Tamandua tetradactyla: one gene and its partners. The protein of the gene in region 4 interacts with the protein of the main gene of each other region in a biochemical or structural test. Links are inferred from orthologs where the notes say so. Each region holds a gene or a part of one and is shown on either strand. Other genes may lie near its edges.

Evidence for each region.
Region 1: the proteins of UBE2E3 (region 4) and NEDD4L form a complex in vitro, tested with the Homo sapiens proteins (3 studies listed by BioGRID). The link is inferred for Tamandua tetradactyla from reciprocal best matches to the Homo sapiens genes UBE2E3 and NEDD4L.
Region 2: the proteins of UBE2E3 (region 4) and RNF14 form a complex in vitro, tested with the Homo sapiens proteins (2 studies listed by BioGRID). The link is inferred for Tamandua tetradactyla from reciprocal best matches to the Homo sapiens genes UBE2E3 and RNF14.
Region 3: the proteins of UBE2E3 (region 4) and RNF25 form a complex in vitro, tested with the Homo sapiens proteins (2 studies listed by BioGRID, with this or other methods). The link is inferred for Tamandua tetradactyla from reciprocal best matches to the Homo sapiens genes UBE2E3 and RNF25.

What each region holds. Positions count from the first base shown.
Region 1 is NC_135344.1:24,078,155-24,086,067, forward strand, and holds the start of NEDD4L (E3 ubiquitin-protein ligase NEDD4-like), read right to left. Parts: upstream 3,001-7,913; 5' UTR 2,421-3,000; coding exon 1,239-2,420; intron 1-1,238. UniProt on the Homo sapiens protein: E3 ubiquitin-protein ligase that mediates the polyubiquitination of lysine and cysteine residues on target proteins and is thereby implicated in the regulation of various signaling pathways including autophagy, innate immunity or DNA repair.
Region 2 is NC_135346.1:22,075,374-22,082,232, reverse strand, and holds the start of RNF14 (E3 ubiquitin-protein ligase RNF14), read right to left. Parts: upstream 3,014-6,859; 5' UTR 2,900-3,013; exon of another isoform or gene 2,834-2,899; intron 2,806-2,833; exon of another isoform or gene 2,448-2,805; intron 1-2,447. UniProt on the Homo sapiens protein: E3 ubiquitin-protein ligase that plays a key role in the RNF14-RNF25 translation quality control pathway, a pathway that takes place when a ribosome has stalled during translation, and which promotes ubiquitination and degradation of translation factors on stalled ribosomes.
Region 3 is NC_135329.1:194,206,899-194,213,904, forward strand, and holds the start of RNF25 (E3 ubiquitin-protein ligase RNF25), read right to left. Parts: upstream 3,006-7,006; 5' UTR 2,898-3,005; coding exon 2,857-2,897; intron 521-2,856; coding exon 446-520; intron 191-445; coding exon 88-190; intron 1-87. Other genes in the region: STK36 (serine/threonine-protein kinase 36), read left to right, coding at 3,854-3,937, 4,687-4,827, 4,940-5,017, 6,096-6,226, 6,448-6,697. UniProt on the Homo sapiens protein: E3 ubiquitin-protein ligase that plays a key role in the RNF14-RNF25 translation quality control pathway, a pathway that takes place when a ribosome has stalled during translation, and which promotes ubiquitination and degradation of translation factors on stalled ribosomes.
Region 4 is NC_135329.1:153,626,174-153,633,536, reverse strand, and holds the start of UBE2E3 (ubiquitin-conjugating enzyme E2 E3), read right to left. Parts: upstream 3,001-7,363; 5' UTR 2,628-3,000; intron 2,370-2,627; exon of another isoform or gene 2,229-2,369; intron 2,191-2,228; exon of another isoform or gene 2,042-2,190; intron 1,598-2,041; 5' UTR 1,573-1,597; coding exon 1,379-1,572; intron 1-1,378. UniProt on the Homo sapiens protein: Accepts ubiquitin from the E1 complex and catalyzes its covalent attachment to other proteins. In vitro catalyzes 'Lys-11'- and 'Lys-48'-, as well as 'Lys-63'-linked polyubiquitination.

The DNA of each region.
Region 1 (7,913 bases), on a different chromosome or scaffold from region 4:
TAAAGTTCACTCGAATGGCAAAAAAACATTTCTGAACACAAAGCAGTGAAAGATGATACAATTCTAGAATAACAGCCACCCACTTTGAAAACTGGCAATTCACAAGAGAAATCCAAGCAGAAAAGAAAGTCCCCTAGATATTTCATAATCATATCTTCAGACTGATAATCACATGACATTCAGGGGTAAAGATTCAATTCAATATACAAAGAGCTTGTTCTTTAAGAAAGCACTCAATGGCTAGTGACTCCTAGTAAAAGAAACCTGATTTAAACTTTCCATCTCACTATAAACTACACAAGTGCAAAGTCATCACATGCCTGGAGTCAGCAGCTATCTTTCGGTACTCCATTTCACTGAAAGGAAGAGAATAAGAACACACAAGTAGGAAAGTCCAAAATCTGTCTAGGGAGTCTGTTTCCACAGCTGGAGACAGGGCACTTACTAATCTATATACAGCATCCCTGGCTTAGAGACTCAAGTGGGCAGAGTTAAGTTCCACAGGCATGCAACCAGGTCATTAACGGGGCCCTATCACCGTTCGCCTTTTCCTGGGTTCATAAGTCCACCTACTTCAAAAACACACTTCTCACTGTCCAACAAGTGCGACTACCCTTGTTTAGCATTACTTCATGGGACCAGAAACAAAGAAAATGAATTACATAAGAAAAACTAACACCACTACCCCCACCCTGCCCCTGCAAAACAAAAAGTCCTTTAGGAAGACCCAAACTTTGAGCACACTATTTTAATTAGGAGACTAAACCCAAGTATTGTGCTATATCCACTACCTTTATTAGAACTATTTGTAAAGGACATGTTGTCCTAGGCTATCTTGGCAAGCAACTTTTAAAATGTGTTTCCAACATGAACATGTTGAGGCACTGGCTTGCGTTTTGGCAGATGAATTCAAAGTAATAAATTCTTAAAATTTTTTTATCCGGAAGGAAAAAAAAAAAAGGGTGTTTTGTTTGAATTTTCAAAACAGAGCTCTTGACTTTGAAGGCGTACACAAACAAGATTTTCTGAAATGCTCACTGGTTTCATGGATCTCTACCAACCAATGGAGCACAAATCATCGTCACGGAATGCAGCCAGCCATTAAGCTACAGTGGACCAAGGTGGGGAACTCCCCAAGCTGAGGACGAAGTTTATTTTAATTACACTGCGGAATAAGCTTTCTGGGTATGAATCAGCCCCTGCTGACCTACTCTCCCATGTAAACACAGCTCACTTACCGTGGCGCTTGCTACTGTCAAGCCAGGACTTTTGGCATTATCCTCCTCAGGATTCTGGAGAGTTTCTTCTGGCCCCCGAGTTACAAGAATTCTGAAATGCTGTTGCCCTGCATTTTGATCTTGCCTGATCTTAAACATACACCCTTGACCCTGTGGAGTCCTCTCTATGGAATTCGTCCTGTGGATTTCTGGAGTCATCCTGCTGCCGCGAGACATCTCGGAACGCCCCTGGTCATCTGTGGGGCTCACTCGTTCAGTTCGGGGCTGGGTGGGGTATGACGTGCTCCTCTCCAGCCGAATACGAGGGTACCTCACCAACCGATTGCCCTTCGTGCCAGTGAAACCAAAGTTGCAGTCACCACCCAGACCCAGACCACCCTGCTGGGACTGCTGCAACTGGAACACAAAGCACCGCTTCCCAGGACTACCAGAAACATCTGGAACGTGCTGCAGGGACCAGCGCCTCGGCTCAGGTACAGAGGGGCTGCTCTGTCCTTCGGACCCCAACGGCATCAGCCTCACCTGGCGCGTGTCTGCACTGGAAGCACGGTGCTGGATCCTGACCCCACCAAGGTTCAGCCCTGCAGGAGCTCCACTGCCTTCCACCCCTGGGGTGGCTGAGGGCATGGCATCCTCTTGGAGCTCTGCAGGAACTGCACAGAGCACTCGGTGGCCACAAGGACCAGTTCCATTGACCTGTTGTTCAGAGTCCCTGGATATCCTTGGAGGAGAACTCTCCGGGGTCTCTCTCTCTGAGGTTTCCTGGGAGCTGCTTTGAGACGATCTTCTCACTGGGGTGGTAAAATCCTCCCTGAAGTCCGAAAGTGTGCACAGAAGCCCGCCCTCAAGTGAGTCCGGCGGCACGCAGTCGTCGGTGTGTCCGTTCACAGCTTTGCGCTGCAGGGAGATCTGGACGGACGAGCTCCTGGTTGGACGTGCATCGATACTATTCGGCAGCTGAGGGATAAACATGGACGTACTCCGCTTGAGCGATCCCACTCCTTCTCCCAGGCCACCACCACACTCCCCTCCATTTTGGGAGAACGGGTGGGGGCTGCTTCTCCGTGGTAGAGTGTGGAATGCCATGAAGAAGTCATCGTCTCTCTCCTGGTCTAGGATCTCTGATTCGGGGGCTGTGTTGCTCCGACCAGAGCCAAAATGAAACCGAAGCCGATGGGCCATGGTGAACGGGGGGCAGGGAGGGAGAGGGAGAGCAGCAGCCACAACCCCAGCACTGCCAGACGTCAAAAACCAGAGACATCAACTCCAAGAAAAAGTGTCCCATCTGCCAAACTGTTAGCACCGCAGAACCAATAGCGGCAGATAGCAGAAATAACCCAAGTGGCCAGCGGCATTCCAGGCAGGATTGGATAAGAGCAAAAAGCTCTCATCGGCGCTGTGACAGAGGGTAGGGTGGCTGCAACCACATGACGGCCTTCTCGCCCTCCAATGCCAGCTTGTGGACTTAGTGGAGTTTTCCCCCTTCTCGCTATGATTTTTTTTAAACAAGAGCCTGAAACAGCACCTTCCCAGCTGCTGCTTTTCCATCAGAAAGGAGTGGCCCCAGCAGGGAGCTCTCGCAGCTGACTAAGGCAGCAAACACAGTCTGAGCCACGAGGCTATAAATCTGAACCACATCACATTCACAGGACGTTTCTTTTCAACTAAGCAGAGCACTCAGACTTTCTCCAGCGAATGCGAGGGACCTGGCATTAAACACACAAGCTCATATGTGGTCGTCCCCACTCCACCCCCACCATCTCCCACCAAACCTCCCTGTAAAAAAAACATGAAAAAAAATCAGGCGAAGCAAGAAAACGCACAAATATTGGATGTTAAATTTCTCTGTTATTTATAATATCATCATGTTAATATGATGGAACATAAAACAAAACATACTATAAATAAGATTACACACCCACTGAATTAGTGTCCCTTTAACACTAAATAATTAGACCATGACCCATCTACAGGAGGAGGGGCATGACTTCCAGCACTGGCAGTTGGCATGGCCCCCTCTGCTTCTACACTAACATTTTTCATTTAAAAGATATGTGTGCTTATCTTACCTATAAGATGGTCAGCACGGCAGCACCAGAGAAAAGGAAACCCAGCTGGAGAAAACACTGCCTCCCAATTGAGAGAGAGAAAACCAAAAATAAAAAGGGGGGGGGGGGGGGAGACTAAAGAGAAGTGTGCATGCAGCTTTTGTTTTAATTTAAGTTAAATACCATATAGAAGAAATGATGCCTGGAGCCGAATGCCTTCCAGAAGAGTTAGAATTAGCAATATTACCAGAGTTGCAATACTAATACAGAATTTTGCTATGTTTGCAAAGGGCTAAAAGGGACATAAGAACTAAAAGTAAAAGTGGACATTCAAAAAACTGTCACAGACTTTGTAGTTAACTTGGAAATGCTCTATGTGTTTCAAACTTACTGTTTTCCGTAATCCAGTAAGTGGGTTATTTAACAAAGAGGTTTATTTAGGAGGGGCAGAATACCAAGCTGCAACGAGTGACAAAACGTTTATTTTAAAATCTGCAAAGCATGACTTTGTCAACAGTTCTGGAGGCAAGGGTGTGGATGATTAACCCCATATTTACACACGTCCAAACCTGATTGCTAAAGATATGTGTTTTAAATGCCAAAAATGACCTTTAGGAGAGAAATGGAAGCCAGTTTGTTTAATGTTGAAACTGCCAAGTATCAGGACAGTCACGTATTGTCTTAAATGGATTAACAGCCAACAAAGACACACACACACCCCCCACCAGCACTCATTGCATAGTAACAGCACTGTAGACGGCTTAGGGAAGAGTTAGGTGTTAAATATTGTAAAATACAAATTTTCAGATAAAGCTTGTGCTTACACAGGATTTCTTAAAGATTTGTACTCAAAGCCCTTTTTGGTTTGGAAGTATAGTTTAGAACTCATGACAAGGTCAGCTCACCAACCACATTATTTTAGATAATAGAAATGGGAAATAATTTTTTTATAGAAGAAATCTGAATAATGGATTAAAACATCTGAAAAGAAGCAATTTTTCCTGAAATTTGACTCTTTCTTCACCTTGAAGAAGTGTTACTGTACCGAATAAACCTGAGAGTAAGGATTAGTCTTTGGGTGAATCTACATCTCCTGTGACTTATTTTTGTTCCCCTGAGCACTGACTCAAAGTCTTCACTGACTTGGACAGTCGGAGGTCTAAGAAAGAGGCCCAGCACACTCTCCTACTCAATTTAACAAGAATGGGAAGTGATTTAGTTCCTCAGTACTATTAAATATCACCCAAGGTACTAAGTATTGAATTCAATGCAAATCCACCAAGGAATCCACACATATTTTTAAAGGAAAGATATCAGAATGGCAGGTCGGAATGTGTCTACTTTGGAGAATATTATCACGTGCAGAAAGAAGATCAAACACACCCTAACGAAGGTGAAAGGCCTGGCTCTTCACCACCCCTGGGCTGAGAAATGGGCAACCAGCAGGCTCAGCCTCAGTGCGACCACTACTAGTTTCACTGACCGCCCAGTTTAAATGGTGTAAAGCTCCAGACCTCAGCTGTCTCACCTGCAACGACAGGGAGTCGAGCAAGTTGTTTTATAACACTGCTCCAGACCAAATATTTCATTAAAATAAAGCCACTCAAAAATCTGGTGTTTCAGTTAAATTCTGCCAAAAGGAAGGCTTATACGAACATTCCCCTAACCAGATAAGACACATAAGTTTCAGGGAAGGTATACTGATGGACCTGCGTTATAACACCACTTCTGAGAGTAAAAAATACTCTCAGGACAATGCTCAGTTTTACCATCAAAACACTTGGCTCATGGGAATCTGATGTGTATATTGTAGTTAAAGAAAACAAAACTTTCCTTAAAATCTTACCTTAAGCCAAATTTGCTTTCTAAAATTTCTATTCCAAAATGTTAATGTATATTGGTTATATGCTTCAGAAATATCTTTGGTTCTTTAAAAATACTTTCTAAGAGTCTCCCTTGAGACAGTACCATGTTTTAAAATACAGTTTAAATTTTTCTGCTAAATACAGATTCACTTTTTTGCTCTACACTGTTAATTGGATTTTTGTTTCTCCAAAGAGACCCACCTTAGAACCTCTTGAATAGGTTACAGTGTTACATTTTGGCCTGAATTTTAAAACCCTGAATGGTTTGCTTACAGGTACAGATGGCCTCTTTTCAGATCCCTGTACTCTTCTGGTGTCCCCACATTTCAGCACAAAAAATGGCCTGATGCCAGCACTGAAGACTTTCATTAATACTTACTGTGATAAAAACACATAAACTTTCTACCCTAGCAATAAGAAAATATTTGTTGGAATTATGAACTTTAAACAAAGGTGGGGCAAAAATAATCTTCTGTTTGGGCATATATACTTTCGTAAGTGCAACATAAATACAGTCTCAAAGATGTAACGCTCAAAATTCAGCTTTTAAAAACTTAAGCAAAATACAAAAGCAGTAAGTCACTTACCAATCTGTTTTCGTCAAATACTTCAAACAGGAGTCTGTGATTAGATGGATTTACCTATGAGGGACATAAACAGTATTTCAAAGATGAATAAAAATCATTCCAAAGATGAAATAAGGGATAGTAATAGAATGATATTTGAAAATGCTTCAGTTCAATTGTGTAATGGGAATACTCTTCTGGAATCCCATGTCTACTAAATCAAATTTTCCATTGTTCCTGTCTATACTTTTCTGCCCCTAATATTTAGGCACATCAGAAGAAAAGGCTCCAGGTTGTTCTTCTAACCAACCTAAGAAGGGGTAATCCCGAAGAGCTTTAAAGAGTTCCTAAAATTCCTGTGCAAAAGGCATCCCCACACCTGTGGACCAAGGCCACTCCCTCACAAAAGTCTACACAGAAATCTCTAAGGCCTAAGAACAATAATTATAGTGATGACAATAAAAATAATGAAAAAAAAAATAGTAGCAGTAGCTTATTGTGTGCTTCTTAGGCACTACTGCCTTGTGACATATCAAAGGTACTTTATCTCATCTAATCCTCACAATCCCAGGATGTGTAACTATCACATGGTCCTGGGCCCATGAGAGGGAAGCAGATCCCACTGCCTGCAGGCAGACAAACCAGGAGCTGAACCAAGTCTCACCTGCTTGTTTTCAGAGAGAGCCCAGACAAAGAAACAAAGGGAAAAAAGATATTCCCACTTTCAGTAACACAGGGCCACCATCGTCGCTACTGGGCTTCCCATGGCTTTTTGTTTCTCCCTTTGCCTTACCAAAGCCTCAGCCAAGTGACCCTTATCACCATTTGGACCCCAGTATAACTGACCAAGCACCAACCACAGATGAGGCATGGTGCCAGGTATTCTCATTTACACCATCCCACGGAAATCCTGGAAACACCGATGGAGTAAGCATGGTCTCTCCTGTGCGAGAGAGGAAGAACCAAGAGAGGAGAAAGAATGTCTCTCTCTACCCCAGCCAGTCAGCCTCTCCTGGGGAATTCACTGAAACCTACCTGGAGTTCCCAATTTGGGGCCCATCCTATGGAATGTGGACTTGCTGATTCCTATTGTCATGGGAGCCAATTCCCATAATAAATCTCATGTTATATACATACATGTTTATTTTAAAAAAAAAGAACTGAGATAGTTCTTTCCTAAGTTACTAAGGCTGTGAAGGGCAGTGCTGGAGACGCCGCCCAGGTGTTCCGTTACCAGGTTTCAGCTGCTTCCTGGGGAAACGCAATGCAGCACATCTGAGTCACAGCCTGCGTGTGCTTGGGTCCCCGAGGCTGCCTTAACCTAGTGACAGGGCAAGCAGGTGGACAGGCTGTCCCGCATCCACTTATAACCCTGTGAAGGTGGTGCTGCTGGCCGGTGAGTGCCTCCACCGGCCGGAGGACAACAGAGGTCCTCAAGAAACATTTGAGGAATGAATAAAACAAAACCTTTTTTTTAATACCCAAGATTAGCTGAAAAAAAATTCAGATGTACTAAAATTTAAATAAATGTGAGTGCAGTGTCAAACAAAAAGGTGTGTAAATAATTTGGGGTTTTACGAATGGAAAGCTACATTTGAGAGTTAACTAAGGTCCAAAGACATCTATCTCCCCCATTAGCTTTTCGGTCTTTCACAGAGTAATTTAAAATACATCTTGTAGAGACTGTACGTAGGAGTTCACCAAGTATTAAAATATCAGTGCCAAAGAGAAAAAAAGCATAAAAAATGTAATAAAATTAAATAAATAAAAATAAAATATCAGTGCCATTTTTCATTAGCTCTGAACCTAATACAAAACAGATGTGTAGAATAATCCAAGTCTGAGCACATAAAATATTATTATGATTGAAAGAAAAAAGTCAGGGCCAATCTTAAATGGACTGAATGGCAATACTGCTCTGTGGGAATCTGCACTGTTCAGAAGACCTATTCTGGAGCATTTCTAGAGGTAAAGCAAGTCTTAATATCACAGTTACATAGACATTTGAAATATCTTTTCATTTTAAAGAGAAATCTTTCCAATTAATTAGCTAAGCAGTTTAATATTTCCAAATTTTCAGTTCCAATTCCCACCCTCAAAATACAGCCACAACCACAAAAACTCACTAAGCTGAAATCTCATAATTAACTCACAAAATTCTACATATAGTTATTCCAGAAGTTAAACTTAAAACGT
Region 2 (6,859 bases), on a different chromosome or scaffold from region 4:
AAAGTTTACTATTATTTTAGGTAACACAACGAATGAAAATATACAATTAAAGTGTGAGTCAATGCTTTTTTATCACAGTGACTGAAAGATGCGGCAACAATTTCAGAGAATTTAAACATGAAAAAATATGCAATGATAATCTATGAAAATTACTTTAACAAAAAAAGAATTACCATTCTGTCAATTAAAATATTGGATTATAATTGCATTTGCAAATATGCTGCTTCCTAACTAAAATATTTTTAAAACTTGAAATATACAGAACTGAACAATTAGGACATGATTTTTCACATTATAAAAGGTGCCAATTCATTTAAACAAATTCATTTTAAATTATTCCATTTTCAAAAAATAAATGTTCCCAAGCCGATGAAATGGTTCTGCTTAAGCTGCTTCCCTATCTAAGGCACAGTGACATGTTCTATTTGTACCTGTTCATGATGATCAGAAGAAAAGAATATTAACACTGAGGTCTATATTTCAGTTCAGGGTGTTTGGAATTCATGCAAATCCCATTTATTCTCCAGCCAGTAGAGATGAAATTGCTAAAGCTGGATAAGAGACCAAGAGGTGGGACTCATACTAGACACACTACAGAAATCCTGTCCTCTGCAGAAAGGATGTTATGACCCTCTCCAAATTTAAACTGTGAATTACCAATATCACTACTTAAGTATTATACATCCTACCACATACTTGAGCCTAATCTACAGCTACATACTACTCCCCTAGAACAGCCTGTGCACAGCCAGCATTTGCAGGTCTCTAGCAATGACAGAGGCCTTATCTGACAGCCCTCAGTGCTGGGAGGAGCTGAGGAGAAACCCCAAGGTCATAGGAGAAGATAGGATGCCATGTCTCTTGACAAACATCTTCTTGGGTGGGGAGGTTGATTCTTTTTTCTTTTCTCCCTTCCTCTTCTGTTTCTTCTATTCCTTAATTTCCCATCTACCTCCAGTTTTTCCTCTCTCCTGCTCAATCCTGCCAGTGACACTCAAAGTAAGGTTAACTTAAGCATGACAGCAGGATAATTTTAAAAAACAAAACAATACAACAAACACAAACAGTTTTATTTAAACGCTTTAAAGCCAGGGTTCTTAACCGGGAGGGTGGGGGAGTGGGATCCACAGATGGACTATGGAGAGTCCTATGAACACCCTGAAATATATGAAGCCATAAATTTTAAACAGATTCTCAGATGTGTGATTTCCAAATAAGCTAAGAATCAGATTCTGAATCAATTTACATTTATTGAGCACCCAATATATAGTGTATTAGGTCTTTCACATTATCTTATTTAAACTTATTTACCAGGAAGTAGAACATGGTGATAATGCGATTAAGTTATTTGTTTTTTCCTACTAAAACATTTACAAATAATGTGAGAGATGAATTTAGTTTTTTGGTTTTAGGTTAGTGTTCTCCATCTTATCTGCACATTAGAATCTCGTGAGGAGCTTCTCTGAAGAATCCCAATACCTAGGCCATACCCCAGACCAATTAAACAGAATCTCTGGGAGTGGCTCCAGACATGAGTAGCTTTCCAAGCTCTCCAGGTGACTCCAGTAAGCAGTTAAGGTAGAGAACCTCTGCTCCAAGCACTGTTTCCCTTTGATAGCTCACCACCTATACCACCAGACCTCATTTTCCCAAGCTGCCACCCAGGACCCCTTAATTCAGGGCTCTGACCTTCATTTTCTTCTACCTGATTCTCTCCACTTAGCCTTCAAGGCCCACCTCCAAAGCTTCTCTTCCATGTCATTTTTTCCCAATTGGACATCACGTTTTTCTTTAAAATCCAAACTTTTTTACTGTTACTTTCCTAAGACATTGACACATTCGAACCTGCATTACAGTAGTTTTAAGAACTGGCACTTCCTCTCGCGCCTTAGTTGCTCAAGGAGGACCAAGTCTTTTCTATCTGTGTATTAATTTCAGTATCCAGCAGTGTCCTGCATTAAGACACTGGGAAAAAATTGCACTGGAATGAAATGCAGTGTGCTGGAATGGGGGAACAGATATATAGGCTCAGTCATCACTCTGCCACATCCCTCTATAAGCTGGAGGTGGGTCACAATTAACAGTGATATTTAGTGGTTTGTGTCAGGCACATGGTGTTCAACCCTTTAAAATGCATAAATCCGTGCATTTAACTCATGCCACCACCTGAAGCAACTCTATTCTTAAATCCATAACAAGTAATGGAAAAATATCAGTTTAGGTTCCCTTGTGGCCCAAGGTCACACATGCAACAAAACTAAGTATGGAGTCAAACCACGCTGTTTCTTCATCTATAAGACCGCAATGAGAATAAAACCCGGCGGCATTAGCTCATTCAAATTTAATATTCGTTTTGACAAATGGGAAACCACACCAGTGTGGGAAGCCCCTCTTGGCCGGGTCCCCTTTCGGCGTGGGAAAATACTACTCATACTGCGAGGCCACACCTCGCGGACTCCAGCCCGGGGTGGGCCCTCGCCCGGATCAGCACGCCGCCGCCCGGGTCTCCACTAGCGCGCCGGCCGCCAGGCGTGCTGAGTCGTTGTTTGTGCGACTCAAACTACACCCTGAGGCAGGCCTCAACCTCGTTGTCCGCCTCAGCGCTTGGCACACAGAGGGCGCTGTGCAGGCACGCCGGCCGTGGGCTCGCCTGGGTGTCCCGAAAGGGCAGGGACTGGATCTTTCCCTTCCTGCTCCGTGAGCGCCCCGGAGAGTCTGAGCCGCTGCGGGAAGAGGGAGCCCGTCCCGGGTTTGGGGGGCCGAGGCCCACCGGGCAGTCCCGGCCCGGCCGCCCTTCCTGCCTCGCGCGCCCGGAGCGCGGTCCCCACCGTACCTTCCGGCCGCCTCGCCGTGCCGGGTCCAAGAGTTCCGTTCCCCACCCTAGCCCGGGCCCCCTCACCACCACTCGCCGGCCCGGCCTAGCGACGCCCGCCTCAACCCGCGCGCCGCCTCTTCCGCCGTCGGAGCTGTCAGCTGGGTCGGGCGGAGCCGACTGAGGCCGTGCAAACTGAGGCGGTAGCCGGCGTGAGGAGATGGCTCCGCGCAGCCGCCGTGATCGCCCCGGGCCCTCCGGCGCCCCTCGCAGGCCGGAGGCGGTGCTGCAGGCGCGACCACCCTCGCCCCACCACCGCCCTGCAAATTTTAATATGCTTTTAGAGAAGTTGATAAAAATGCAGATTCTGTTCTATAACTACTCTTCGAAGTGTACTTTGAAAAGCATTGCTTTTTCTTTCTCTTCTTTGTATATGTGTTATATTTAACGTTTAAAAACTGCATATTCTGGGACCTCACGCTCAGAGGATTTCTTTCAGTAAATCTGAAATGGAGACCTGGAATTCCAGATGGTTGTTTTTTTTAACCAATTCCTAGAGGTCACCATGAGGCCAGCGGTCAGTTGAGGATGCGGACTGGGACTGGTAGGGAAGTTCTGCTGCCTGTGGAAAAAATACCCCTACCTTGACTACTTTCTCAGAAAAGCTAAACTTTTCCTGGCACTGCACATGAAAGCATTAATTCAGCTCATATTTTGACAATGAGCAATTAGGGTGATTTAAACACTGTGCAAAATGCTGTGGGTACATTTTCTTCATCTTTAGTATAACCGTATAATTAGGAACTATTTGCTATTTTCACTTTACGAATAAGACTTAGAGAATTTTTTTTTTAATTACCGAAGATCGCCTGATTATAGAGAGGCTGAGAGGGCATTAAAATTCTATGCCCTTAAAAAATAAAATACAAAGACAAAAATAAAATGAAATAAAATTCTATGCCCTCTGCTTCACACCATATAAAAAAAATTAGCTAAAAATAGACCAAAAAACCTAAATATAAAAGCTAAAAAACTTCAAAACTTATAGAAGAAAACATAGGAGTAAATTTTCTTTCCCTTGGATTAGGCAACAGTTTCTTAGATATTACACTGATGAAAGCATAGCAATAAAAGAAAAAAAATAGATAAATTGTGTGTCCTCAAAATTAAAAGCTGTGCCGCAAAGGACACTATCAAGAAAAAGATAACCTACAGAATGGGAGAAAATATTTTCAAATCATATATCTGATAAGGAATAGAAAATTCTTGCAACCTAGCAATAAGACAGCCCAATTTAAAAATGAGTTAAGAATCTGAATAGACATTTCTCTAAAGAAGGTAGATAAATAGTCAATGAACACATTAAAAGAGTCTCAACATCATTAGTCATCAGAAAAATTCAAATCAAATCGCAACGAGAAACCACTTCACACTAGGATGGCCATCATAATAAAAATCTTTTCAAAAGGAAAGTAAGTGTTGGCAAGGATGTCAAGATATTGGAAACTTCATAAATTGCAGGTGAGAATGTAAAATAATGCAGTCACTGTGGAAAATAGTTTAACAGTTCCTCAAAAAGTTAAACAGAATTATCATATGACACAGAAATTCCACACCCAGATATCTCTCCAAAAGAATTGAAAAGATATGTTCACACACAAAACTTCTGTATGAATATTCATAGCAGCATTACTTATAATAGCAAAAAAGTGGAAAAAAGTCCAAATATGCAGCTAATAAATGGATAAAACAATTGTTACGTATCCAATCAATGGAATATTCTTCAACCACAAAAAAAGGAATGAAGTACTGATAAGTGTTACAACATGGATGAACTTCAAAAGCATTTGACTAAGTGAAAGAAGTCATTCACAAAAAGTCACACATTGTATGATTCCATATGAAATGTTCAGAATATACAAATCTATAGAGACAGAAAGAAGATAGGTGGCTATCAGGAGTTGGGGGAGAAAGGAATGGGAGGTACCTGCTAATGGGCACTGAATTTCTTTTGGGGATCAATATACTTTGTGAATATATCATAGTCTACTGAATTACATATTTTTAAAGGATAAGTTTTATGGTATGTAAATTATATCTCAGATTTTAAAATCAGATGCAAAGCATTGTTCTCAGCACTTACATGGGACATGGGGATGCTGGCTTCTGCTCCTCCGAAACCATGAGTCTAATTTGCTCTTAATGACCTAATAAGCTCCTGCTTATTATCATATACTTCTTCCCTGCCTCCCCTCTCCCCCCCAAAAAAAAGGAACTTACAGAGCTGGAACTTTAGCCCAAGCCTATGGGATTCTAAAGCTTCTGTTGTTCATTACCACTGCCTCCTGCAGGGTCGCTTCATGGGCCAGTGTCCTCTGCAGTTGCCCAGGACTCTGTAGGTAAAAGGTCCTCATGGCCATTGATTGTATACTTTGGATGGATTGTATGGTGTGTGAGTATATCTCAACAAAATTGCATTACAAAAGCCGGGGTGTGGAGCACTCATGTGTAGAAGGATCTTGCACTTGTACTTAACATACTGCTGTCACCACCACCTTGAAATTCTTAATAATTTTTGAATTATTATAATTCTTTGATTCTTACGACTTTGAGGCTCCACATTTTCATTTTGCACTGGGCATTGCAAATTATGTAGACAGTCCTGTTTCCAGGAGAGAGGGGAAGGAAATGAAAGAAGGTCAATCAAGGTGCCTGTGGAAGGGATGTGGGTCTCACTTGGCTGCCGTAGACAGAAAACTTTTGAAATGCAAATAATCCCTCCTTAAAAAAAAATCACTCCTAAATTTTCTGTACTGTAGATATTATCACATAACAAGAAACCAACTACCCCAGTAATAGGTACCCAAACCAGAAACATATGCCTTATAGATGGAAAGGAAGGAATAAGAGTCTCCAAAGCCATTTGCTAATATCAGTATTCAAGTTTAACCAAAGGAAATAAAACCAAGAGCAAAATGCATGACAACCCTACCTCAGAGTGCTCAGGTCAGAACAAGAATCCTGCTGGATCACTGCCCTCCCCTTCTCTCTACATGGGACATAACTCCCAGGCGTGTGGACCTTCCTGGCAACGTGGGACAGAAATCCTAGAATGAGCTGGGACTCAGCGTCAAGGGATTAAGAAAACCTTCTCGACCAAAATGGGGAAGAGAGAAATGAGACAAAATAAACTGTCAATGGCTGAGAGATTCCAGAGTCGGGAGGTTATCCTGGAGGTTATTCTTACACATTATATAGATATCACCTTTTTAGTTAAGGTATATTGGAGAGGCTGGAGGGAAGTGCCTGAATAAGTAGAGCTGTGTTCCAGGAGCCATGTTTCTTGATGACCATTGGATAATGATATAGCTTTCCCAATGTGGCTGTGTGATTGTGAAAACCTTGTGTCTGATGCTCCTTTTATCTACAGTATGGACAGATGAGTAAAACATATGGATTAAAAATAAATAAATAATGGGGTAAGAAATGTTAAAATAAATTGAGTAGATTGAAATGCTAGTGATCAATGAAAGGGAGTGGTCAGGGGTATAGAAAAAATAGGAGAAATAAAGGCTAAAATATACTGGGTAGATGGAAATACTAGCAATCAATGAGAGGGAGAGGTAAGGGGGATGGTATGTATGAGTTTTTCTCTTTTTTCTTTCCATTTCTTTTTCTGAATTAATACAAGTGTTCTAAGAAATCATCATGGTGATGATATTATGAGTTTTTTGTTATATACCAAGAATGGAATGATCATATGGTAAGAATGTTCATGTTTGTATGTTCTTATGTTTAAAAAATATTAAACATTTTTTTAAATACAAAAAAAGAGAGAGAGAGAATCCTGCTGGAGATCTCTCAGATGCAAAAATGAGAGGCTCCTCGAACCAGGTAAGGGAAATTCTCACAAAGTTGGAGCAGGAAGTGAATTGTGACATCATTTCATGACCTTATATCAGAGGTCAGGGGATAGGGGGACTAGAAGAGAAAATTTCAGAGCAGTGTTAATAATTTAGATAATGTTTACAGTGGGCTAAAGACATA
Region 3 (7,006 bases), about 41 Mb from region 4:
TGGATGAAGATAACAAGTTATTGCTGAAATGCTCCACTTATGGTCTCTCCCCTTCTTCCCTTTGCTGTCACAAAGGAGGGGTCTTACCTGTGTTGGGACCTGAAGCACTAGAGTGAAGCAAACATACTGGGAGTCTTGGTCCTCTGCAGTGGCAGGGTGCAGGGTTATACAGATCTCCCATGGTGAAGATCTGTAGGTAGATGAAGTGGAGACCTGGGATGTGACCAGGCAGGGGCTCAAGGGCTAGGAAGGATGGGAGTGATTCAGTAAAGGGGCAGAAGAAGCAAGCACTGGCTCACCTTTGGGAAAATTAAAGGAACAACTTTTGTCTACATGAGAAACATCTCTGAATCAAGGCTCACTGTGTCTTAAGGCCAGACTCTCTATATGGAATTCTCACCTCATTACTAAGAGGGCTCCTGCCCACCCCTGGTTGAATACGTACCTGCCATTTCCTTTAACCACCTGTAGTTCATCCAGATAGATAGACTCTAACACTTCAACTTCAGAGAGAAGGACCCTAGAGAGACAGGGGGAGACTGGCTTAACACTACAGCTCTCCCTGCTGAAGCCTGCTAAGGCCAATAAAGGCTGGCTTTATAGAAAAAAGTGGCAATCCATTATATGCACTCCCTTGCTATTTTTTAAAGATAAAAATAAAGGAAATAAGCTGCCTTAAGTTGTCAAGGTGCAAGGTAGGAAGCATGGAAATCAGAAGCTGTGAGATCACTTCTAAGACCAATGAAGGCTGGCTTTATAGGAAAAAATGACAATCCGTTATATGTATTCCCTTGCTATTTTTTAAGGATAAAAATAAAGGAAATAAGCTGCATTAAGTTGTCAAGATGCAAGGTAGGAAGCATGGAAATCAGAATCTGTGAGATCATTTCTGCCAACAGTTGAGGCACAGAGGTTTAATACCTCAATCTCAAGCCTTAATAGAAGACTAACTGGGACCAATGCAAGGTTTTTTGACTGCCCATTTAAGTTTCTTTCCAGTGCTGGTTGTTCCTTAGCAGCCACCTCTCTGACCCAGAAACATGATGTCCATTCACAGCATCAAAGTAATCAATGCTACTCCTGGTTTTTCGCACGCCACTATTGAACACAGATCTCAGACAGTGCCCAAGCGCCTTCTCAAAGGAGATACCAATCTGAACAGGACCGTAGGTTTAGGTAGTATAAAGGCTATGTTGTAGTGGAAAAGTTATTAATAAGACTTGGGGTCAGTCATAGCTACAGATCACTCAGCTACATGATCTAGGTAGTTATTTATCTCTGTACACCGAGTTGCTCTGTTTACCTCATATGGATAATAACACCCAATCCTTAGGGTTACTGTTAGGATTGAAGGTGATTTGTGTATGCAAAGTGTCTAATAGAATCTGGGCCACAGAGTCTATGTCCTCTTTTTTTCCATTTCCCTTCTTTTTAAGGTGGAAGGATGTAGTCAGCAGAGAACTCTAGATATATTTATGACACTGGCTAGAAATAAGACGATATATATTTAATCTCAGAAACTGCAGAGTTATACAGCAACACTGAAGATGAGTGGTTGAAGTCCAGAGCTCTACCCAGGTAATACATGGAAAGATGCATGCATTTGTTTGCTTTTTCTTAAGTTATACTGTTTCCTCCTTACCAACAGCAGGACTGCTGTAATACGGCCTATATTTTAGTGGTCCTCAAGACTTTCTTTCCCAGTCTTAGGTGGAAATCCCAAAATATAAAATAGGTTAACAGTGGAGTTTTTTGGTTGACATGGGAATGGGAAGCTCAGAGCACCACAGGTTAGCTTCTATAGCTACTGCTGCCCTCTACATGGCTTCAGGTGTCTCCTCAGAGTCTTAATGTTCCAATGAACAATTTGAAAACCACTAACCCAGATAGTGTCAACAAAGGCCAGCAGTGACTGGGTTCCCTGAACCAATGAAATGCTGAGCTATGTAGTCTCATTCTGTGCACCCTTCAATACTTCACCCACCCTAGCTTTGACTTGAGCCGTGGATGGCCTGTATGGAGCAGGACTGTGAAATGCCCTAGTATTGTAAGATTTGTAGTCAGAAAAACCTGCATCCCTAGCTGTAAATATGTACATTTTGCAAATCACTTCATCTCTTATCTAATCTCCTCAGCTGCTTTACCTCAGAGTTATTAGTGAAAAGGAAGCATATGTATGTTACAAACCCATACTAATTCTCTCAAGGATTCTATGCAGTAGAGGCCACACCCACTTCTTTTTATAGCTGAAGATACTGACTCACAGAAGCTAGGTGATCAGCATTACAAAGCTAATAAAATGTGTAATAAACCCACACTGATCCTCCTTCCAAATTCAAGAGTCCTTCCAGGTTCTAGTCTCTTGTTAGGAATGCTTGCGATAAGGACTAGGAAAGATTGTGTAAGGTGTAAAGCTTTATTCAGACATACTCCTCATTAGTGCTGTAGGGGAAGGAGAGGTTAAGAAAGGCCTCGGCGGATATAAGCTGATCCAAAGGGAAGTGATACACGAGCCGTAGGGCACTGGCTCCCAGAGGTACAAGGGAGGTGCTGGGGAGTCTGATGAGCAGGCATCCCATGGACCCCTGAGCAAATGCAGTTCAAAAGGATGGACAGAATGGAGCCGGAAGGAAGAAGAAATCGAATCAGATGAGACCCGGCCCAGACCCAGTTTCCTCTTACCATGACCCATGCCCTCCACCCACCCGCTCCCCAGTCCAGACGCTCTCTTAGGGTGAGATGTCAGCTTCTGTGCTATCTCTCAGCCCTCGTTCTACTTCAGCAGCCCGCCGTAAGAACCCTCCGCGGCCACCGCTAAACCAGGCAGTCAGCCAATGCCCATTTCCCCAAAGTTACCAGTCCTCCTCCCCCGCAGCTGCCGACTCAGACACCGCCATATCTCCTCCAGTCCGCAGCCGGAACCGGAAATGTTCTTGGGGAGGTCGGGAGGCAGAAAGCTAAAGGGGGGGGGCGGGGACTAGAGACTTGAGAGGAGAACGTCTAGCGGCGTTTCTAGGCAACCGTAGACTCCGGGTCCTTAGTGGGGCCTGATGACCAAGAGAGATTCGGAAGTGCCCTAGGAAGTGCCTATGGGTAGGTCACTGTCTCGCCCATACCTCTGAACGCCGTGTCTTCCGAGACTCTATCTAGTGCTAGTGAGTAAAATTGCCAAGAGTGAGCGTCTAAAGAAACCGGCAGTGAGGGTGGAAAAGGATTATAAATCAGGCAAAGTACGTCGGCAGCTAGAGGGGGCGGGGCTGGAGGCCAGAGCTGGCGTCCCTCGGCTTAAGGGGCTTGAAGCTCCTGGGCTGGGGGTAAGAAAGGAGATTTCTTCTGCGCTGTGTGCGGGCATGGGGTTAGGAAGGGGGTGTTGGGGAGTTTGTGAGTGGCATGGAACCTAAGGGAGGTTGGGAGGGGATGGGAGTTGACTGCGGAGGGTCTAGTGGCGAGGCTGTGTCGAGTAGGGAGGGGTCAGGAGGTCGCGGTTTGGGACGGGTGGAGAGATCGGGTAGCCCAGCGTGGGTGGAAGGTTTGGTGGGCGTGGCTGGGTCGAGTGGGGCGGGGTCTGATGATCTCTGGAATAGGTGAGGGAGGGGCAAGGAGGCCTAAAAGATGGAGATCTAGGAGATGGTCCATTTGTCTTAAGACCTTGTCCTTCATCTTTCTGTCCATTCCACCCTCCCATGTATTTGAGGGCTGTATTATTGTGAAAGAGGAAAAGGCAGGACGGCTGAAGTTAACCCTTCTCCCATATCCCAGCTAGGCCTCGCAGATGTGTGGAACTGTTCCTGCAGCTGTGGTCTTTCACCACCATCTCTGCCTCCTTCCTTCTGAGGGATCCTGAAACCTTGTTATGGAGAAGTACCATGTGTTGGAGATGATTGGAGAAGGCTCTTTTGGGAGGGTGTACAAGGGTCGAAGAAAATACAGTGCTCAGGTGGTGAACCAAGAGGGATATCTTTTGGGTGGGATTCCTACCCCCAGACTCCAAGAGAGGGAGGATCAGTGGGGAAAAAAAGACCAGAAGAGAAGTATTCATACTGACCCATCTTCCTAAGGCATTGACTCATTTTGCGAGTCAATAGACTCTGCGTTTAGATTGTCTGGGTTCAGATCCCCACACCACCACATTCTAGCATTTGAACTGTGGACAAGTTATTTAATCTCTATTTCCTTACCTATAAAATGGGGATAAGAATCGTATGTAATTTATGGGGTTTAGAGATTAAACGTGATAAATCTCACTAAATCACTTAGTACGGTGCCTGACAACTAGTAAACAGATAAATATTAGTTATTATTATCTATAATGATAATAGATATTAGTATTATAGTAAATAATAATAAATATTATTATTACTTTCTATCATGCAGTAAGAGAGAGATAAACCACCCAAATTCTTCTTCCTCCCTCATTTTCATGCTTCCTTTTCTCCTAAATCCTATGAATGTTGAGTTTTTTTCCCAAATGAGAACATTTCTCCCAAAATCCACTTTCTTCCTAGGTTTGTCCTAAAGTAAGCAAAGGGATCTGCGTGACAGGCAGTTTCCTCCTGGGGTGAGGGGTGGAGGAAGACTGGGTAAGACTAGGGAACCTTGAGTTCTAGAGCTTCAAGGTTAATGCTGAAGTTCTGGTTCTTTTCAATAGTGTGGTTAGGTCTTGACTCTTCACCTTACCACTGACAGGTGGTGGCCCTGAAGTTCATTCCAAAATTAGGGCGTTCAGAGAAGGAGCTGAGGAACTTACAACGAGAAATTGAAATCATGCGGGGTCTGCAGCATCCTAACATTGTGCACATGCTTGACAGCTTTGAGACTGACAAAGAGGTGCGCTTTGATGGTTTTGGGTCACTTCTCCCCACCACAAGGGAATCAAGAATTTTCCACCCTCAGGATGCATGAATCTGGAGCCATCAGCACCATTGCCTTCTCCTTGCAGGTGGTGGTGGTGACAGATTATGCTGAGGGAGAGCTCTTTCAAATTCTGGAAGATGACGGGAAACTTCCTGAAGATCAGGTATGTTACCTGACTCAAACTTCTCTCTGCCCTAGCCTCTGTCCAGGTTAAAGACTGGTAGAGAAAGCTGAGGGCATTTGGTGGCTCTCCATTTTGAATACTCCTGAGAAGAATGCAATAATCTAGTTATATATAAAGTATGTGAACACTGGAGCCAAAATGTCTGGATTTAAAACCTGGTTCTGCCACTTCTTGATTGGGTCTTCTTGGACGAATTACTTAATCTCGTTGAGCTTTCATTTCCTCATTTGTAAAATGGTAATAATAATAGTGTTGTGAGATTGAATTAACTCAGGTAAAGTGTTTAAAACGGTATTTGACACATAGTATTCAACATAGGTAGCTAGTGTTAATGTTGTCATCATCATCGTTTCTCAACTTTAGGAAAGAAGGACCAGTGTGGTGGTGCCATAGAGGACACTACAGTAAGGAACAAGGGTTGTAATTAGACAGGATTCACCACTAGAATGTAGTGGTTGATGGTGGGATTTGGTTGAACACGTTCTCTAACCACTTTCACTGTAAGGGTTTCTCTATACTCTAGCAAGTAGGCACGCTTCTGTGCACAGCACTCTATTTCCTTCCAAGTGCTCATCAATGTTTGAGGTCCTCTTTCATTTTGTGTTTACCTGTTTGACTACCTCTTTTGAAAGTGGGAACTTTATTTTACTTAATAACAGCTGATATGTGTTGAGTGCTTACTAAATGCCAGGCACCATCCCCAGCATTACTTTCCATTACATGCATTAATTCATTTACCCCTCACAATAATCTCATGAGATGGGTGGTATCATTATTTTCACTGTAAGAATGAAGAATCTTAGAGGAATGAAACAATGTGCCTGTGGCCTTACAGCTAGTGATGACATTCAATAAATTTTCCTTGAATGAATGAATGAACAAATGAAGCAATGAATGAACAAGAAGAGCAAGAACTAAGGAATGTATAGTATGAAGCTCTGGAAGAAAGGAGAGGAGGAAAAGATCACATGAGTAGTCAAATTAGGGAGGATTCTTTGGGTTCTACAATAGGCTTATTCCTCCTGCCTCTCTTCCTGCCTGACTGCTTGGTCCCTAGGTCCAGGCCATTGCTGCCCAGTTGGTGTCAGCCCTGTACTATCTGCACTCCCACCGCATCTTGCATCGAGACATGAAGCCTCAGAACATCCTCCTTGCCAAGGGTGGTGGCATCAAGCTCTGTGACTTTGGGTGGGTATTCTAAATTTCTATCTATGCTTCCAGCTCTGCAAGGAGTCTTAGACCATGTTCTTGACTTAGTTAGGTCTCCTTTTAGAATCTGAGCTAGAGATTGGTATTCCTGCTGGGTCTTTTGGGACTTAATCTGCTTAGTTTGGGGATATTTCACACAATGATAGGTGGTCAGTGAGCAGGTCTGGTTTTATTGGTCTAGATTTTATTATCTCTTTCAGATTTGCCCGGGCTATGAGCACCAACACAATGGTGCTAACTTCCATCAAAGGCACGCCACTCTATATGTCTCCAGAGCTGGTGGAGGAGCGACCATATGACCACACAGCAGACCTTTGGTCCGTGGGCTGCATACTGTATGAGCTGGCTGTAGGCACCCCTCCCTTCTATACCACAAGCATCTTTGAGTTGGTCAGCCTCATTCTCAAGGACCCTGTGCGCTGGCCTTCCACTATTAGTCCCTGCTTCAAGGTATGAGTATAAGAAGGGCATTGCTTTTGCATTGGAAACCTGTCTCCTTTATCCCTCCTTTTCTCTTTCCAGAGCAATGCAGTAACTGCAGTTACTGAATTACTGCAGGAGTTAGGCCAAGCAGCCTTGCTTTTCTGCAGTAGGGGCTTGTTCTTGAAGGGTGCTCTGAGGTCTGCCACATTTGGGAACAGCAGTCCTTTTGGGGCCAAGCTATACATTTAACATAATGAAAGGTAATTTTAAGACATCAGACACAAGATACCTTTCACATGATTTTTATTCCAATTATTTCCTACCAGGAGCAATGTC
Region 4 (7,363 bases):
TAAGAATTAACATGCTATTTTAAGAACATGGAAGTAGTTTTGATGATATTTTATCTGCTAAAAAAAGTTTAAAATTTACAAATATTTTCATCAGTGAAAAACTTCCAAAGGGCTCTTTAGCAATCTTATTTAATTGCATGTTTCCCTAATCTTAAAAAAGTGCTGAAATTTAAAATATTTCAAGGAAAATAAGTTATACTATGTAGCCTTGAATTAAGGAGATAAAAAGCAGTTCTCTCATTTTATTCAAATTTTACATGCTTTCAAAACAAGATTTGTTTAACATGTTCAACAAGACTACAATTGAATTCTTCAAAGTCTGCTATCATCTAATAAAAGAATTCTTGTTATTAATACCTGATTGATAGAAGATAGTAAAAATCTACAGAAAAGAGTATTTCTGAATCACTACAGAATGAAATATTTGATCAGTTTTTCTATTTTCTTTGCACTTTAGTTGTGATCAACAAAATGTCAAAATAGCTAATGCTATAGATACATCTGATGTATCTCTGTACACATATTTACTAAAATTCCTGGGTATTCAATTACCATCACTAATGGAATCCCATTAACAAAATATTTTTTTGTCCATCACAGATAATATCAATCAACATGAACAAATGACCTCTCACTTGGAACCAACAAAATGCTTCTCCTGCTGCTGAGCATTAACGTGTCAAGCATATCTATACACTTTAGAGTAACCAGTCAAAAGGATGATGAAAATCTGGCTATTGAAAACTTCCACTGTTAGCCAAGTGACACCTAAAATTGTAAATGGCTGCTTTTCAAGTTTTACTTGTCCTCACAAGAACAGAGGGACAATCATAACTTGACTATAAAAAGTAATATCTGGGATGCATAGTTTAAAATCTGGTTTATAAAACTTAAGACAGATCTGTAGGACAATTTTAAATCCGCTTTAGCACACAGCCAAGGCCTTGAATGTAAAAGTTTTTTAGCAGATGTGATAATTCTGAGCACTTAAGTTCATGCTGATTTTTAGTGTCCATTTCATGACAAGTATGACTCACAAAAACGAAACACTCCCAGTGCACCATCTAATTTGGGTTCACCAAATTAACCTTCACAAATTCTTTAAAAAGTCTGTCAGGATGTTCATCCAAGCTCTACTAAGAAACACTGTCTGAAGTTACCAAAATGCAGACCAAGTTTGCTTAAGAAGTACAATTTGAGGGAGGTAGTTTATATACCACCTAAAGTATAGGTGGCTCATTCAAGTGTCAAGTGCAAATAAAACTGATCATGAAGTAAATGTTTTTGAACTACTGCTGCTGATGTAAAAACCAATGGAAGTGTCCAATCATTTGGAAGACAACCTGACAATGTGCTTAATTCTTCTTTTACACATTACCTTTTAGCACTAGTGGATAACTTAGCAGTGGTTTTGCTAGAGAGTTTGGTGTTTTTCTTCTGCTGAGTAGCAGAAGGTTTTCTTTCTTCTTGTTCTTCAGGCTCTGGAGCGGCTGGATCTCGCTGGTCCGCATCTGAACTACCACTGCTGGTGCTGGGACTCTCATCATCGGACCTTTGCCTGTCACTGGACATCTTGGTGAAGTTATTTCTTGGAAAACTTTTAAGGAGAGAGAGAGAAAAAAAGGGGAAATGTTAAGTCTAAGAATAAACCACTAGCATTTTCTTTTCTTAATATTCACCTAAAATAGTAACTTAATGAAAAAAGCTTCAAAAATGTTCACACATCTCATCGTACAGCAAGGTTACAGGGGAATTGGTATGTCTCACAACGCCAGCGTTCAAGGATTTTTTACCGAACTCAAGTTGAAAAACCCACTCACATTTTTTTCCATCCCTTGGACAATTTATCAATTGTCTACTTTCTCAGAAGGCATGAAACAGATTTGCCAGGGAACTTAGGCAACGAGCATTAATAACACATGACACACTGTAAATAACAGATCGCGCTGAAAAATGTTAAAAAGTCACTAATAACGTCTAAATATTTACACAGTGATATTGGTCAAAGCTACCAAATTCCCTTTCTGAAAGGAAAACATACCCTGTTAATCGCCCATATGCTTATTTAACGTGGCGATTCCTCTTGTGTGTGTGTAAGCCTTTAATCACAACACTTAGAAATTTAAAAATCAACTAACAAGCTACTCTAGCCGTTTCCACGGCCAGCAGCAAAGATTCATCCGGCCAAAACCGAGCTGACACCCTGGGAAAAGCAGAATCCAAACCACCTTCTGCAAAGCTCCCAATGCCACCACGGTACCTCGCTCAATTTTTACATCACGGACGGACATTTTGTCCAAAATAGCGAGAGAAAAAAATCTGAAGAAAACAAACAAACAAAGCCCCAAGAAGTGCAACAAATTTCCGCGCCCGCGGAGGCGAGCCGCGGCCGGTGGCGGCGGCCACGCAGCTCCGCGGCCCTTTGTGGGGAGGGCCGCGCGGGGGCCGCGGGCAGCGCTCGCCGCGCCGGGCGCCAAGTGATGCGAGCAGCCGGCCGTCCCCGCCGCGGCTCGCGGACACCGGCGGCGCGGGCGCCCGGCGCGAACAAAGCTGCCCGCCCCCGCCCCCTCCCCCACCGCCGCCGCCCCGGCCGCCCCGCACGCGGCCCCCGGGCCCCCACGCCTTACCTCGGCCGCCCGCCCGGCCCGCTCGCGCGCCGCTACGGTGTGGGGGAGGGAGAGAGAAAAAAACCCTTCCTTAAGGAAATGGAGGCAGCCGAGGGGGGGGGGAAAGGGGGGAGGGAAAAAAAGAAGCCGAGGAGGCTCTGGCCGGGGAGTGTGGAACATTGAAAGTCGGAGGGGGTTGTGCAGTGCCGGGCTCCGGCCGGAGGGTGGCGCCGCCCAGCGCCTTCGGGGAAAAAAAAGGGGAGGGGGGGTGTTGGGAGCTCCGCGGGGCGAGGGCGCGAGCTCCCGACGAGGCGGAGGGGACGCGGGAGACCCCCGCGCGCTGTGGCCTCCCGCCGCAGCCGCCCGGCTCAGCTCCTCCCGGCGGCGCAGTCAGCAAGTTCCGAGCCGAGCAGGGGGGAGGGGCGGCGGCGGCGCGCGTGCTCGCTGCTTGCCTGGCGGAGGAGCGCGCGCCCCCGGCGCCCCACGGGCGCGAGCTGCTCCTGCGCGCTCCCGCGCCTTCTCTCGCGCCTCACTTCACCCGGGGGGCGCACGCGTCCGCCCGCGCGCGGCCAGGACAAAGAGCGCGGCGGGGACCCGGCGGGTTGGCCCCTGTCGGCAGAGTCCGCTGAGTCCGCGCCAGAGAGGGCGGGGGCGCGGGCGCCGTCTCGCGGGGCCGCTGAGCCGCGGGGTGGCTTCCGGCCTGCGCCTGCCTCCGGGGCGAGGCTGCCCATTGGGCTACCCGGGGCGAGGGTACCTTAGGGGCGGGAAAGCCGTGGTCATCCCTAGGCTGGATCTGTCTCCTCTGCCTGCTCAGGGGCCGACGTGGACCCTTGGGCCCCAACCCCTGTGCAAGGGCCCTAGACGCGTGGCAGGGAGTCCCCTGCCGCCCCCCTCAGCACTGGAAGACTCCGGGTGGTGGTGATGAGGCCTGGGACAGGCAGAAGATAGCTGCCTTCTCTCCCTCGTTAGGGGCAGGGGCAGGATGGGATCGGGGACGTTAGTGGGGAAGAAAGTATTGCGAGACTGGGGGACCAGCCTCTGCTTCTCTTTGACCCCCAAGCCCGCAGTTGTCGCACTCAAAGGAAACTGACCTTCGGATGCTTTGAAAAGTTAAAAATTCAAAACAGTTTTCAGATATCCTGCTCAACATTTTAGAAAGGTGGGGAGGAGAGTTTGAGGGCTCAAACCTGACACTTTGCTGCTAAGCTGTTCTGACTTGCATACCAGAGACCAGTTCTGGAAACAGACTGGATCAGAATGTCCACACTGAGAGAAGTAGTGGGAATAGTAGAGTCTAGTTTTATTCTACACTTCTGTCTTACAGAGTCTCCAGGTGGACTTTTCTGTTTTTACCCTAAGCACAAACTAGCCAAAAGTACAAAAACTTCCTGTTTGCAGCCCAGACCTCCTCTAGCTACTGAGAACTTGTTCCAGTGATGGAGCCCTAAAGGAATTTGCGGATTCCTCTCCCACAAGTTTCCAGGGGCCCGAGTGCTGGGAGAATGTGGAGTTCACAGAGAGAATGGCAGTCATAGCAGAAGAACAGGAATTAGAAGGAAAAGAAACGAAAAAAAAAAGACTGCATGAGCCAACATTTTTACTCATTTTTCTTCTAAATAGAAAAGTTTTGATAAAGGGATACTTACAACTCTGACCTGTAAAGTTACATTTCTGTAATTTTCCAAAGACACAGTCATTCCATGAACTTTGTTGAGGGATTTGTACCAGGTGCTGGACATACCAAATACACTCACTTATTTTGTGTGGGATTAAAGCCAGATTCCTCTCCTCTGTGCTAGTTCTCAATTCAGAAGAGGAATGGATTATTAAAACTTACTAGGTTATTAAGAAGGAAAGATATTCCTATTCCAGTTAGGATGAGCAACAGGTCTCAAGAAAGAACATGGCGTGTGTATGGACGAGCATTTCAATTCGGCTGGATCGAAGGGTGCAATTTATTAATGAAAATATAGACAGAAGGTTGCCCCCAACTTTTACCCTATGTGACTCTATAGCATAAGCCAGCCCATTTGGCATTTGGGCTTTGCTCTGTTCAGAATGGAGAGATGTTAAAGGAAAATTATATGTTAAAAATTGGTTCTTTCAGGAAATTTACTATTACAGAAATAGCTTTCAAGCCAAAGGGCCAATTGCTGATCGGATTTGGGTGGGGCAGGGAGATCGGGAGATAAAGATGTTTAGCTGTGTTTGGTGGCATCTTTTACAGAAGAAATAATATTGGGCTCCAAGCAAAGGAACCGGATTCTAATCCTTAATAGTTTGTGTGACCTCAAGCAAGTTACTTGTTCCAATTTACTTTTTCTCATATATAAAAGAAGATTGTATCAAAGGTTCTAAGTCCACTTTTGCTGGAAAATGCCATAATTCTTCAGTCAGTTTGGACTCATGATGAAAGTTCCACTCAACATTTATTCAACTACTAAATGATGGGAAAATGGAATGAAATATGGAATCCACCATAGTGGATATTGATATTGATAAATGGTGCCCAATTGCCTTCATTGCCCTAACAGGGTAAATTCAAGTGGTTCTTTACAAATCACAGCACTACTCCAAGGTAGCATGACATCACCACCTTGACCAGAAGCATCTCATCAATTAGAAGTAGTTTCTAAAGTGATCTTCTTCCTCAAAGGACACCCTGTTCTGTAATTATTTTAGCTCTCTCTTGTTTTTGCAGTGTCAATCCTTAAAATTGGGGATCATGATTATACGCATTCCTGAGGGCATACAAATTTGACCTAATGCAAATTATTTCATAAAGCATATAATTAAAAATTTCTCATAAGGTCCTCAAAATAGCCAGACAATGTGGATACCAGCCACACAAGAAAGTTGTTTTTTCTCAGTCTCCTGTGTTGGAATGGAATCTTGCCAGTCTCTCCATCACAAACCTGAAAAGAGGGGCAGAGGTAACAGACAATACTAACAGATATTGCCACAACTACCTACTCTCCCTTTTCCCACCGAATGTGTAACCAAAGGCACCTGTCCTTATTATAAAGGTAGGCTGGGTTCTGGACAAGGCAGACTCCAGAATCCTTTAGGAGTTTAGGAGATGCTTTCTCCTGAGACTTTCAGTAGATCTCGGAGTTTTACATACATTGAAGCATGTATATGTGTGTCTACAGAAAATATACAGAAATACATAATTTGAGTTGTCTAAGAAGTTTCTCAACTAAGTGACTGTGTAAGCTAGGATGGAGCTACAGATCTTTTTAAAATCGCTTGCCATGGGCAGCAACAGACCTTACACAATGAATGTGGAATAAATATTATTTTTTAAATTTCAGAATGTTTTTATTTATTCCTGCCACTCAGTAACTTTCCTTAATATCCTTTTATATTACCCCCTTCTTTTTTTAGGCCATTTCCGTTGCTTCCCTAGTACTTGTATTCTTTTGTCCTCTGACTGCAACATTTTTCTTTCTACACATAAAAACTGGGTTGGTTTACTAGAAAGGCAGTTCTTGGCCCAGTCTTAGTTTAAAAAGCCATTTTTGCCAATGTTTGTCTCAGTGTCTCTGGACACCAGAGTTCAAAGTGCGGCTTGACATCTAGTATTCCTTTACTGTGTCATGTGTGGAAAGCCTGTCACATGCCAGGCATTGGGCTGAGCCCTGGAGTTATACAGATGCATAAGCCTCAGTTTGACTTCTTGGATTCAGTTATCATTTTCTGCTTTTCTCCTGAGGGAGGGTAGATACCAAAAAGGGGTCATATCTTCATTCCATATAGAACTTGATACACTGAAACAAAAACAAGAGCACCTTAATAGGGAAAAAGGCATGAACAGAAAAATTTCAAAAAGAGATGCATTTATTTAACATTGTAAAAAAAATTCAGCCTTACATATTATCAGAGAATGTAAATTAAAATGACGTACTTAACAAAACAGCAAAAACAATTTCTAATGATCGTAATAATTGCTGGCAAAAAATAGCCCTTGTCCAACCCTCTTGAAAAGCAATTTGGAAATTTTTGCCAAGAGCCTTAAACTTTAACCAAGTTATTCCATTACTAGAAATGTATCTGAATGTGAAAAAAATAACATTGAAAATCTGTAAATGTCCCTCTATAGGAAAAGGATTAAACAAACAGATTCACCCACGCAATAAAATTTGCAATTAAGGAAATAATACATATGAGAAGCATGCAATAGTCATAAAAAATGGACTATAACACGTCAGTGAGAGTAGAATTTGTGCATTTTCATTATTGTAAAGTCAGATGCTGGCTCAATGAATTTGGCACAAAGTAAGTGCTCGATAAATATTTATTGAGTGAATAAACACTATATCGTTAAAATTAGCAAAACAAAAAATGTCTGAAAGGAAAATATTCCAAAATGATAACTATGCTTATATTTTAGAGGGACCATGAATAACCTTTTTTTTCTTTTTATATTCAGTATTTTCATATTTTTCATTAATGAGCAGGTTCTGTTTTGATAACACAGAAAAAAATATGTGAATAAATGTAGAGATGTAGATTTGGTAAAAACAAATCGTTTTTTTTTTTTAAGATTTTTAAAATTTTATTAGAATAAATATGATTGAGTTCTTAAAATCAATAGAGAGAGTTTGTGATAGCCTATGCTAAAAAGCAGCAGAAAAAAAGCCATAGAAGAAAACATGTATTTAACCAGGTACAAAAATCGGCTATGCTTCCCAACATTCGTACACACACACACCCTAAGTTGGAACACACACTAGACAAAACTGTTTGTACAGTGA